Linked DNA regions of Cricetulus griseus. The protein of the gene in region 3 interacts with the protein of the main gene of each other region in a biochemical or structural test. Links are inferred from orthologs where the notes say so. Each region holds a gene or a part of one and is shown on either strand. Other genes may lie near its edges.

The links.
Region 1: the proteins of Mis18bp1 (region 3) and Oip5 form a complex in vitro, tested with the Homo sapiens proteins (2 studies listed by BioGRID). The link is inferred for Cricetulus griseus from reciprocal best matches to the Homo sapiens genes MIS18BP1 and OIP5.
Region 2: the proteins of Mis18bp1 (region 3) and Mis18a form a complex in vitro, tested with the Homo sapiens proteins (2 studies listed by BioGRID). The link is inferred for Cricetulus griseus from reciprocal best matches to the Homo sapiens genes MIS18BP1 and MIS18A.

The regions. Positions count from the first base shown.
Region 1 is NC_048599.1:58,866,530-58,870,906, reverse strand, and holds the start of Oip5 (protein Mis18-beta), read right to left. Parts: upstream 2,889-4,377; 5' UTR 2,806-2,888; coding exon 2,505-2,805; intron 2,271-2,504; coding exon 2,204-2,270; intron 1-2,203. Other genes in the region: Nusap1 (nucleolar and spindle-associated protein 1), read left to right, coding at 3,145-3,237. UniProt on the Homo sapiens protein: Required for recruitment of CENPA to centromeres and normal chromosome segregation during mitosis.
Region 2 is NC_048597.1:7,020,369-7,023,564, forward strand, and holds the end of Mis18a (protein Mis18-alpha), read left to right. Parts: intron 1-1,538; coding exon 1,539-1,635; intron 1,636-2,267; coding exon 2,268-2,348; 3' UTR 2,349-2,696; downstream 2,697-3,196. UniProt on the Homo sapiens protein: Required for recruitment of CENPA to centromeres and normal chromosome segregation during mitosis.
Region 3 is NC_048598.1:137,938,940-137,941,584, forward strand, and holds the end of Mis18bp1 (mis18-binding protein 1), read left to right. Parts: intron 1-983; coding exon 984-1,038; intron 1,039-1,217; coding exon 1,218-1,312; 3' UTR 1,313-2,082; downstream 2,083-2,645. UniProt on the Homo sapiens protein: Required for recruitment of CENPA to centromeres and normal chromosome segregation during mitosis.

The DNA.
Region 1 (4,377 bases), on a different chromosome or scaffold from region 3:
CCAGGCAGGAGGATCTCAAGTTCAAATTCACAGGCTTCCAAAGACAGCTGGGATACAGCAGACTCTTGTCTCAAAAAAACAAAAACAATGGGCTGGAGAGAGGCTCAGAGGTTAAGAGCACTGTCTGCTCTTCCAGAGGTCCTGAGTTCAATTCCCAGAACCCACATGATGGCTCACAACCATCTGTAATGAGATCTGGTGCCCTCCTCTGGCCTCCAGGGATACATGCAGGCAGAACACTGTACACATAATAAATAAAATCTTAAAAAAAAAAAAAAAACAAAGGTCATAATTTATGACAAAAATTAATTTCTGTACTGCCTCCGATCACTTGTACAGTCCATGGCGCCCTACCTTATAAAGAAAATTACTACTGTCCTTAAGATGTTTGGGGTTTTTCTGCTCCATGCTATAGAGTTAACATAATATAGCTTGTTGGGCCCTGGATCATGAACACTGGAGGACTTAAGGCATTTACTTCTAATATGTAAACAAATTGTATCTCCATTTCATTATATAGAACAAGGTCAATTAGATTTTAATTTTTTTTTTAAGATTTTATTTATTATGTATACAGTCTTCTGCTTGCTCGCCAGCAGAAGGTACCAGATCTCATTTAAGGTGCTTGTGAGCCACTATGTGGTTGCCGGGAATTGAACTCTGGACCTCAGGAAGAACAGTCAGTGTTCTTAACTACTGAGCCATCACTCCAGCCCCTAGATTTTAATTTCTATTCATTGTAATATTCCATCAATCTGGAAGACAACAAGTCATAATAGCAACAGGCAGTGAAGTGGAATATTTTCCCCTACTCTTTTTTGTTTGTTTGTTTTGTTTTTTGTTTTTTTCTGAGACAGGGTTTCTCTATGGCTTTGGAGCCTGTCCTCGAACTAGCTCTTGTAGACCAGGCTGGTCTCAAACTCAGATCCACCTGCCTCTGCCTCCCGAGTGCTGGGATTAAAGGCGTTCGACACCAATGCCCAGCCTTATTTATTTGTTTTTTTGAGACAGGGTTTCTCTGTAGCTTTGAAGGCTGTCCTGGAACTCACTCTGTAGACCAGCCTCTGCTTCCCGAGTACTGGGATTAAAGGTGTGTGCCACCACCACCTGGCTTACCAGGCTTTTAAAAAGAGATTTGGTGTAGGTTTCCATATATGAGAACCCAGCACTTGGGAGGGAGAGGTAGAACTGTAAAGTCAAGGCAAAATCATTATTTTTTGTGAAATTAAGATATTTTACATAGCTAAACATATTAAAAATGTCACTTCAGGAGCAGTGAGATGACTCAAGGGGTAAAGGCACTTGTTGCCAAGCCTGAGGAACTGAGATTAATTCTTGGGACCAGCATGGTGAAAAGAAAGACTCCTTCAAGTTGCCTTTGAACCTCAATATATATGCCAAGCCCCAAGACCCCCAACCATACTTACACACACACACACACACACACACACACACACACACACACACTGTTTATTTATGGTTTTTCAAGACAGAGTTTCTCTGTTGTAACAGCTCTGGCTGTCCTGGAACTCACTGTGTAGACCAGCCTGGCCTGGAACTCACAGAGATCCACCTGTCTCTCTCTACACACACACACACACACACACACACACACACACACACACACACACACACACACACACCACCTGCCAAGCACTGAGATTAAAGGCATAAACCACCAGGTGAGAAAGGACTCCTATAAGAATAGGAATGTGTCTTTCAGTTTGGCAAAGTGGAATAGAGGTATGGTTACAACTTAGTTTTGGCCTCATAAGCACAAATTTGCTGAGTACTTTATTGCTATGGGGAAAATATGGGAAGAGGCAAATTACTAGTAGTACTGAAACACCAAACATTCAATTGTGTTTCCCCAGTTTCAGAGATTATTACAGAATTAGTTCTGTTATGGTTTGTAATATAAACTCCAAGTTAAATTAAAATTTAAATAGTCCTAGTTATCTCACAGGATGTTTTAGTCCTCAGATGTTAAAACCTACACCCAACTCTAATTTTTCTTTCATTAATGCCTTGTTGACATGTTTCAAACGCATAAAAAATGTACCATCCAAATATATTGTATGGAGAGAATAAACTTTTGTCACAACAAAAATAAAGTTTTTTTTCTTGTTTACGACAACTACATAGTCCTCGGTGTCATTAAATAAGGAACTATAGATCCTTCTCAGGAATTCTCCGCACGTACCTGCATTTGAGAGAACCTTCAATGCCAACGAGACAGGGCTCTAATAAAACGACATTGTTCGTGACTCCTGAAAGACAAAAGGGTTTTGAATAGGAAAACCGCCCACCAGATTCATCCTGGTCATAAAAGTCAACAAAACGCGTGGGGCTCATCCAAAAGCGCAAGCTTAGCTCACGCGAGGTCGGTCCAAAGTTTGATTCCCAGCTCCGGAAAACAAAACCACGCCTCCCTCACCCAGCTCGTTTACGATCCCACAGGTCGGGATTACCCTTTCTCAGACGCCAACCCTCGCCTCACTCACTGGAGAAGGCCACGGTCCCGAGGGACCTCGACAGGTCCCAGGCGAGATGCACGGTGTCGGCGAGCACCGCGTGGCAATGCGCGCAGTGGAACACGGCGCACCTCTCCGGTTCCAGCCACGCAGGCAGCCGCAGGTCGACCGGTGACGTCTCCACCTCAGTCTCCGGAGGACCTAGAGGGGAAGACCCTGACACCACCTGAGTGTCCCACTCCATGGAGGTAGCAGCAGAAGGCGTGTCACAAGAGTCACTGCAGCACGGCGACTCGGGGGACGGGAGGAGGCGCCGCGAGCGAGCCATCATTCTGAAGCCGGCGCCTCTTTTTGTACGCTCGCGCCAGGTTCCACCGAAACGAAGTTTCCTGCATCCTCGTTGGACAACATGCCCGTAAGGCACGCCCACAAGCCGTCGAGCGCCGCGTATTCATTGGTTAGGCTTGCGCTATTGCGCGCTTCAGCAGCTCTATTGGCCAGCATCGGAAAACCCCACCCCCGAGGCGTTCAACCAATGGACGTGCAGCAGCCTCCATTTAAAATGAATATAAAAGTCGGCTTGTCAACGCCTTGGGTGGCGCCAGTTTTGAACGCTGCTGTTTGAGTCGCCTGGTTGTTTTTCTGGGTGTCGCCGGGATTGTAGAACGCGATGACCGTCCCCTCTGCAGAGGAGTTGGACTCTTTCAAGTACAGCGACCTGCAAAATTTAGCCAAACGGCTGGGCCTCCGGGCTAACCTGAGGGTACGGTGCTGGCTGGTGGTGCGGGCAGTTGGGTCGGCGGGGTAGAAGAGACCAGGGGTGTGGGGGTCACGGGGCGAAGGGACAGAGAGGGAACCCCCGGGGGACTCTGGTTTTGGGTGAGTAGGTTCGGCTCACGTTGGCTGGAATCTGTTAAACGAAAGAGAAGATATATCTGTTATTTTATTTGGAGGCAGGAACTCATAAAGGCCTCTTACTAGAAACTCTAATGATAGTTTCCTGCTGCCAGAAGGAAACACAGACCCATAAGACATAATCAATGTAATGTCTAATGCCTGTTATTAGAAAAAGTTGAATTGGCTCCTGGAAATTTCCCAAATTACTACTTTTAAGTAAACTGTGATAGTAGTACCTACAATCTTCTTGGGCCTTTATTTGGATGCCAAGCCATGGGGATATAGTATGATCGCTATAGTGATGGTGTTCTTTTTCAAAACCGGTTAGGACTTTTGCAAGGTGTTCAGAGAAAACGTCATTCATTGTGAGACTGGGGCTTGCTATGTTGGAGTTGAGATTTCCCACATGTGTACCCCGTAGATTTGTACAGCAAGCTGATATTTACACTAAATGTCTATTCAGTCATCACAAATATTTTTAAGTGATATAAACAGAATAATGAGACCATAGATGCTCCTCGAATCTGTCTGAATGGCAATGAAGAGTACTTGGAAATGTTTCTGAGTTACACAACTTTAATGAGTAAAGCTTAGGCCCTCAGGTATTTGCTATCTTGTGGATTTTTTGTTTGCTTTTCTTTTTTTCCCCAAGAGATTATTTTTTTATTAGTTCAAATTGGAAACAAGGCTGCTTCACATATCAATCCCCTCTCCCCTTCCCCCAGCCCCCACCTCATCCCCCTCTGCTCCCCAGGGAGGGTAAGGCCCTCCATGGGGGTTCCCCAAAGTCTGTCATATCATCCTGGGCAGGGCCTAGGCCCTCCCCCATGTGTCCAGGCTGAGAGAGCATTCCTCCATGTGGGATGGGCTCCCAAAGTCCCTTCTTACTGATTCACTACTAGGGGCCCCATAGAGTGCCAAGGCCTCCTCATTGACATCCATGTTCAGGGTTATGGATCAGTCCCGTGCTGGCCTCCTAGACACCAGTCTGGGGTCCATGTGCTTC
Region 2 (3,196 bases), on a different chromosome or scaffold from region 3:
AAAGAAAATGACTATACTTTCCTCACTTGAGTACTTTTATCATGATTAATTTCTTTTTTTTTTTCTTTTTGGTTTTTTGAGATAGGATTTCTCTGTGTAGCTTTGGAGCCTGTACTAGAACTCGCAGAGGTCGCCTGCCTCTGCCTCCCGAGTGCTGGGAATAAAGGCATGAGCCACCACCACTCACCTTAATATCTTAAATTCTTGTCCTTAAAAAATTTAAAACAGTAATTTTATCCAGTTATTAATTGATAACTTTGTATTTGGCATCTTTTAAAACCAGCCAAGTTTAAATAGAAAATTTAAAATCCACTAAGCAGGTGGTGCTCCATGTTATAGAGCAGAGGGCCAGGCTCCAGACACGTGCTCCCTTAATCGGTGAGATGCTCTCTAGGGTTCGTGGCAGTGACCTGAGGTTGTGGGTGTGTACAGAAGAGAAGGAGTTTCAGCCAAGTGTGGTGACCCGCCTGTGACCTCAGCACCTAGAGGCTGGGGGGCTGCAAGGGGTGTCTAGAGTTTAAGGCCAACTGGGCTACCCGATAATTACAAAATGGAAGATACAAATCATTTTAATCCAGTAGGGTTGGAACAGAACCCTCTTTTCTAGTTTTGCTTTAGGTTTTTTTGAGACAGGGTCTCGTTATGTATCTATAACTTGCCTGGACCTTGCAGTGTAGTTCAGGCTGGCCTTGAACTCTTAGAGATCCACCTGCTTTCCTTTAAGAAGGAATGGTGTATTCGGACTCAGTACGTTGAGGATCCAGTCAGTCAAGGGGAGCTTGAGGCAGTGGGCCACACTGCTTCTCAGTCAGGAGACAGATAGATGGAGTCTCAGCTCGCTTTACTGTCTTCCCTGGAGTCAGGGAGGCTTGTGAGCTGCCACATGGGTGCTGGGAACCCAGCGTAGCTCCTACAGGAGCAGCAAGGGTTGGTTCTTAATTACTTAAACCCTAAGTAGTTAACCCTGAGGCTGCCCAACCCTTGATAATTATTAGTGCTTGTTAAAAGTCAAACTTGGAGGCCGGGCGTTGGTGGTGCACGCCTTTAATCCCAGCACTCGGGAGGCAGAGGCAGGAGGATCTCTGTGAGTTCGAGGCCAGCCTGGTCTCCGGAGCGAGTGCCATGATACGCTCCAAAGCTACAGAGAAAACCTGTCTCGAGAAACAAAAAAAAAAACAAAGAAGTGAAACTTGGAAGCACCCATGTCTCTAGAAAGTCACATAAAGCAAACGCTGGTTTCTCAGAATTGCTCTGCTTGCCCTTGGCCGTGATGTCGCTCTGCCCCCTGCCCGCCCAAAAGAGGAGGCTTCTTGCAGCAGTGAAACTTTTCTGACGAGAGTGAATATGTAGGGTTATCTGGACAGCACCGTTAGTGAGGGGTGAGGTTACGTGTTACAGCGTCTTCAGGTCTCCACCAACAGAATGCTGTCTTCACACCCGGGGCGTGGAGTCGTGCACTCAGAGCTGGCATGGTTAGCTGCTGGGACGTTGGTGCTAATTCCTTCTCATACTTGAGCTCTCACTGCAGTGCATCTCAGTTACACTTTAGGGTCCTCTGAAAAGCAAATCGTGCCGGAAGACAAGGAGCTTTTCAATCTTGAAAGCAGAGTTGAGATAGAGAAGTCTATAAAGCAGGTGAGTTTACTCTCAGTTTATGTCCCCGCTGCACCACCCTGTGATGTCACGCGCTTTGCTTTTAGCACTTGGCAGGGAAAGAGTGCTCATCGGGCGTTAGGGAGTGGAGCCGTGAGCTGATGCTGTATCCATGGAACCCTGAACACTTTCCATGCCGAGATGGAAACACTGCTCACTAAACCAGAAACGTAGCCTTGAGCAAAGCAACACTGACATTGTTTAGCACTGTGTCTGGGGGTCTGTGTGCACCCTGTGCTTGCTTGCTAGAGGTTGGAAGAGCCTGTTGGCTCCTCAGTCAGGTCTCTGGAGTGAACCAAGGTGGTCAGGCTCAGCAGCAACTACCTTTGCCTGCTATGCCACCCTGTGGCCTTAATCGGATTGGCTTGCCTGGCATTTGACTCATTGCTAAATACTAATGTTCTTGACTAAACATTGTTGTGTTGTGACTAAAGCTAGTAAGATTATGAGTATGCCTTATTCAAGTTAGAGTCACTTCCCTACAGAGTTTTGTTAGGCCTAGCATCTTTATGTCATGCAAAACATTCAAAATGGCATGGATTATTTTAATCATTAACCTATGATTAATTAATCGTACGCGCACTTGTGTTTCTTCATGCCCTTTCCATCGGTAGATAGAAGATGTCCTGAAAGCCTTGGAAATGAAGGTGTGGGAGGTGGAGTCAAAGCTGTCCTATGCTGGCCGCTGCAGCTGAGCTGTGCTCTGCCCCACCCCGCCCTGCCCCGCCCTTGTTCCCAAAGTACTTTAGGAGAAAGAAATCACGTTTCCCAATTTTGTGAGTTCCTATTTTCATAAAAGACCCGGGGTGATTTTTCTGTCTTCTTTTTCTGTTAAATTCATTGTATGTGTACATTTTCCTGTTTTTTTAAACTTTGTCATTTTTAATACTTTGTATATTTATGAATGAGTAGTAAGAAAATCACTCATCTCGGGTAAGAGTGTAGTGAAATGTATTAGATTTGGACTTTTTATAATGTAAAACTTCTATAAGGAACATGTATTATTTTTATAATAAGGAAGAGAATAAAGATTTTAAAAGTGCTTAAAGGTTCATTTGTTTGTTTACAAACCAAATTGATATTTAAGTGAGATAAGAAAAATTGTGGGACCCTGAAATCCACATATTCACTGAGCATGCACTGTGCTCTGCTCGGCCCAGAGCCCTTCCTTGGTACAGATGACACTCGTCACAGCACCTTGTGGGACCAACTCACTCAGTTCCCGGTCAGTTGTTCGGAAGCACCCTGAAAACACTAGCATTACAGCAGGGTAACTGGTGGTGTGCCCTAGTGACTGGAAGGCTTTGGGGCATTTCAGTTCCAGCTGTGACACAATGTCTGAACTGCACGTTTAGTTTTTTTTTTTTTTAAGATTTTATTATGTATACAACATTCTGCTTCCATGTATATGTGCACACCAGAAGAGGGCACCAGATCTCATAACGGATGGTTGTGAGCCACCATGTGGTTGCTGGGAACTGAACTCAGGACCTCTGGAAGAGCAGTCGGCGCTCTTAACCTCTGAGCCATCTCTCCAGCCCAC
Region 3 (2,645 bases):
CGACTTTAATACCAGCACTCGGGAGGCAGAGGCAGGCTGATCTCTGTGAGTTCGAGGTCAGCCTGGTCTCCAGAGCAAGGATAGGCTCCAAAGCTACACAGAGAAACCCTGTCTCGAAACCCCACCCCACTCCCCAAAAAAGAAAGAAACTGCATTTTTCTTTCTCTTTCCTTTTTTTGTTTTTTTTTGCTGTTATTGTTTTGAGACATGGTAGGACTACATAGCTCTGTGTAGCCCTGGCTGTCCAGGAACTCCCTTTGTAAGTCTAGTGGCCTCACACTCAGAGAACTCTTGCCTGCCTCTGCAACCCAAGTGTTGGGATTAAAGGCACCTACCATTGTGCCTATTTGATTGTTTTTCTTAATGTGTTCAAATTAAGCAGTTTATAAAATTGTGATTTACCTAATTCTTTTCATAGTCTGGTATTTGTAGCCAGTGTGTTAGTGTAGGAAAAGCCAAGAATTTTGTGTTCAAAGTACTCATTTCAAGGTCTAATTATCAGTGGCCTCATTACACTAAGCAAGTGACTAGACTTTTCTAATTTATGCATATTTAGATAATGAAAATGGCCTGCTACTGAGTGGTTATGAGAAGTAAATGATGTCTTATATAATCTCACAGGGATAATAATACATTCTATTCAAGATAAGTACTGAGTACATTGAGCCAACTTTTATAGGCTATAGACGATTCTTTGCCTTCTGTAGCATTAGTTTATATTTTCTTTCTTTTTTTAATAGTTTTTATTTTCTTACATGTATAAATATTTGCCAACGGTGAGAAACTAAGTTATGGATTTTGTTCTGCATAAACTCAAGAATGTGGTTGCTTTAGTGACTGAAAGTGATATAACAGGCCTATGTTTACAGTCCTCTGGGGATTAAGCATACTTGATTTTATGATTTTATGTAGGACTGTACTGTCTAGTCAACTCCCTTATCACAAGAGATACAATTTTGCTACTAACACACCCTCTTTTGTAGGTTGAAAATGATTTGTCATCTCCAACACCAATACGAAAAGCCCTGTTTAACAAAGGTATTGCATTTCTTTATTTTGTACCTTATTTCTATTACAATAGGATCTCTATTTGATGGTGTTAAAATTAACTGGTTCTCAAGTAGACACACTTACCATTTAGTTCATTGGAGTTGCTTTCAGTTCTATTAAAATTACCAGTAATATATTAATCTGTTTCATAAAATTTGTCTTTACAGATTTAGGTGATAACACTGCTATTTCAAAGTATTTCGTTGATGCCATAGAATCAGATGAAGAAGAGAAAGATTATTACTTTTCAAATTCTGATTGATAGTAGGACTTTTACCATCAAGCAGAGCATACTTGTATTGTCATTTGAAGAATGGGTATTGTCCTTGTAATAAGGGAATGCAGATTTGTTTCCCAAAGATGTCTTATATTTGTGTGCAAGGTTAACATCCTATAGAATATTCCTTAGTGTTGCAATAAAACACAAGTAAAACTTCTTTGCCTATGTATGTATTTATTTTATTTTTGTAATAGGAAAGTATGTAAAGCTTAAGTTTCTTAAACACCCAAGTCTGTGTACTATAGTAATCATGTCTTAAATAGGTTTTTAAATACCTTTTTAAAAACATAGAAGTCAGGAGAGAGGGGGCTGGAGTTAAAGAGCTTGGATTGGTGGATACTTGAATGAAAACTTGTAGTATCTTGCCACCTGGTATAAGCCAGAGTTCGTTGACTATTTAAATTATGTTATTCAAATTGTTTTTTTTTATGTTCTATATGTTTTCTTCTAATAGTTTTTCTTAAAATTTACCATAAGTTGGTCTGTTTGTGAAACCTCTATCTCTAATTCATTACTCTTTATTACTTTGTGAAGGGTACCAGAGGACAGCTTCTGTTGTATTCTTGAGCCGTGTCATGTATAGTTGATAGATCCACCGTTATAAGGAATTACTAGGTCATAATAACCAGGTTTTCCCTTTCCAATAGCGCCTTTAGAAGCTTGAAATAAGTTATTTGTCCTCAGGTTACACTATATATTCATTTATCCTTTGTGCTCAGACTGTTCAAATAAAATGTTAAATTTGTGTAGTATGTTTCTAGAGTTTTTTTTTAAATTTCATCAGGAAAAGAATGCATTTTGTTATCCTAAGTGTTAAAGCTCTGAGGAGGAAGGTTTTCCCAATGCATGTGTTAAAGCTTGGACAGAAAGGTAATCTGGCAGAATGGAGCCAAGCAGTACCACAAAGTCACACCGTACAACAAACCTCATATTTGTTGGGAGGAAAAACTCGGGAAGGTTGTAGGAGAAACTGCCGGCCAGTCTACTCAAGCTTCAGGTGCCCAGGCCAGCCTGCATGAGCATGCATGGCAGGCACTTCCTCCCTGAGCCAAGCCTGCCTCTAGGCCCAGAGATTGCTGAGGAAGAGACACCTGACCGGAGGCACCAGTGAGAAAAGGACAAGGCAGTAGAGTCAGCTGCCTGAGCCAATGGGAGGGGTATAAAGGCAGGCCTAACAGCATTCTGTTACCCACTCCCAGTACCCGTGTCTGGTACTTCGTCTTCTCGCCCCCTACCCCAAGGGGTGTCCAAACAGGGTCACCTGCAAGAAAAGGTGGCTGCCTCTGCTTGGGCAAGCAGCAGAGAACTTAGCAGA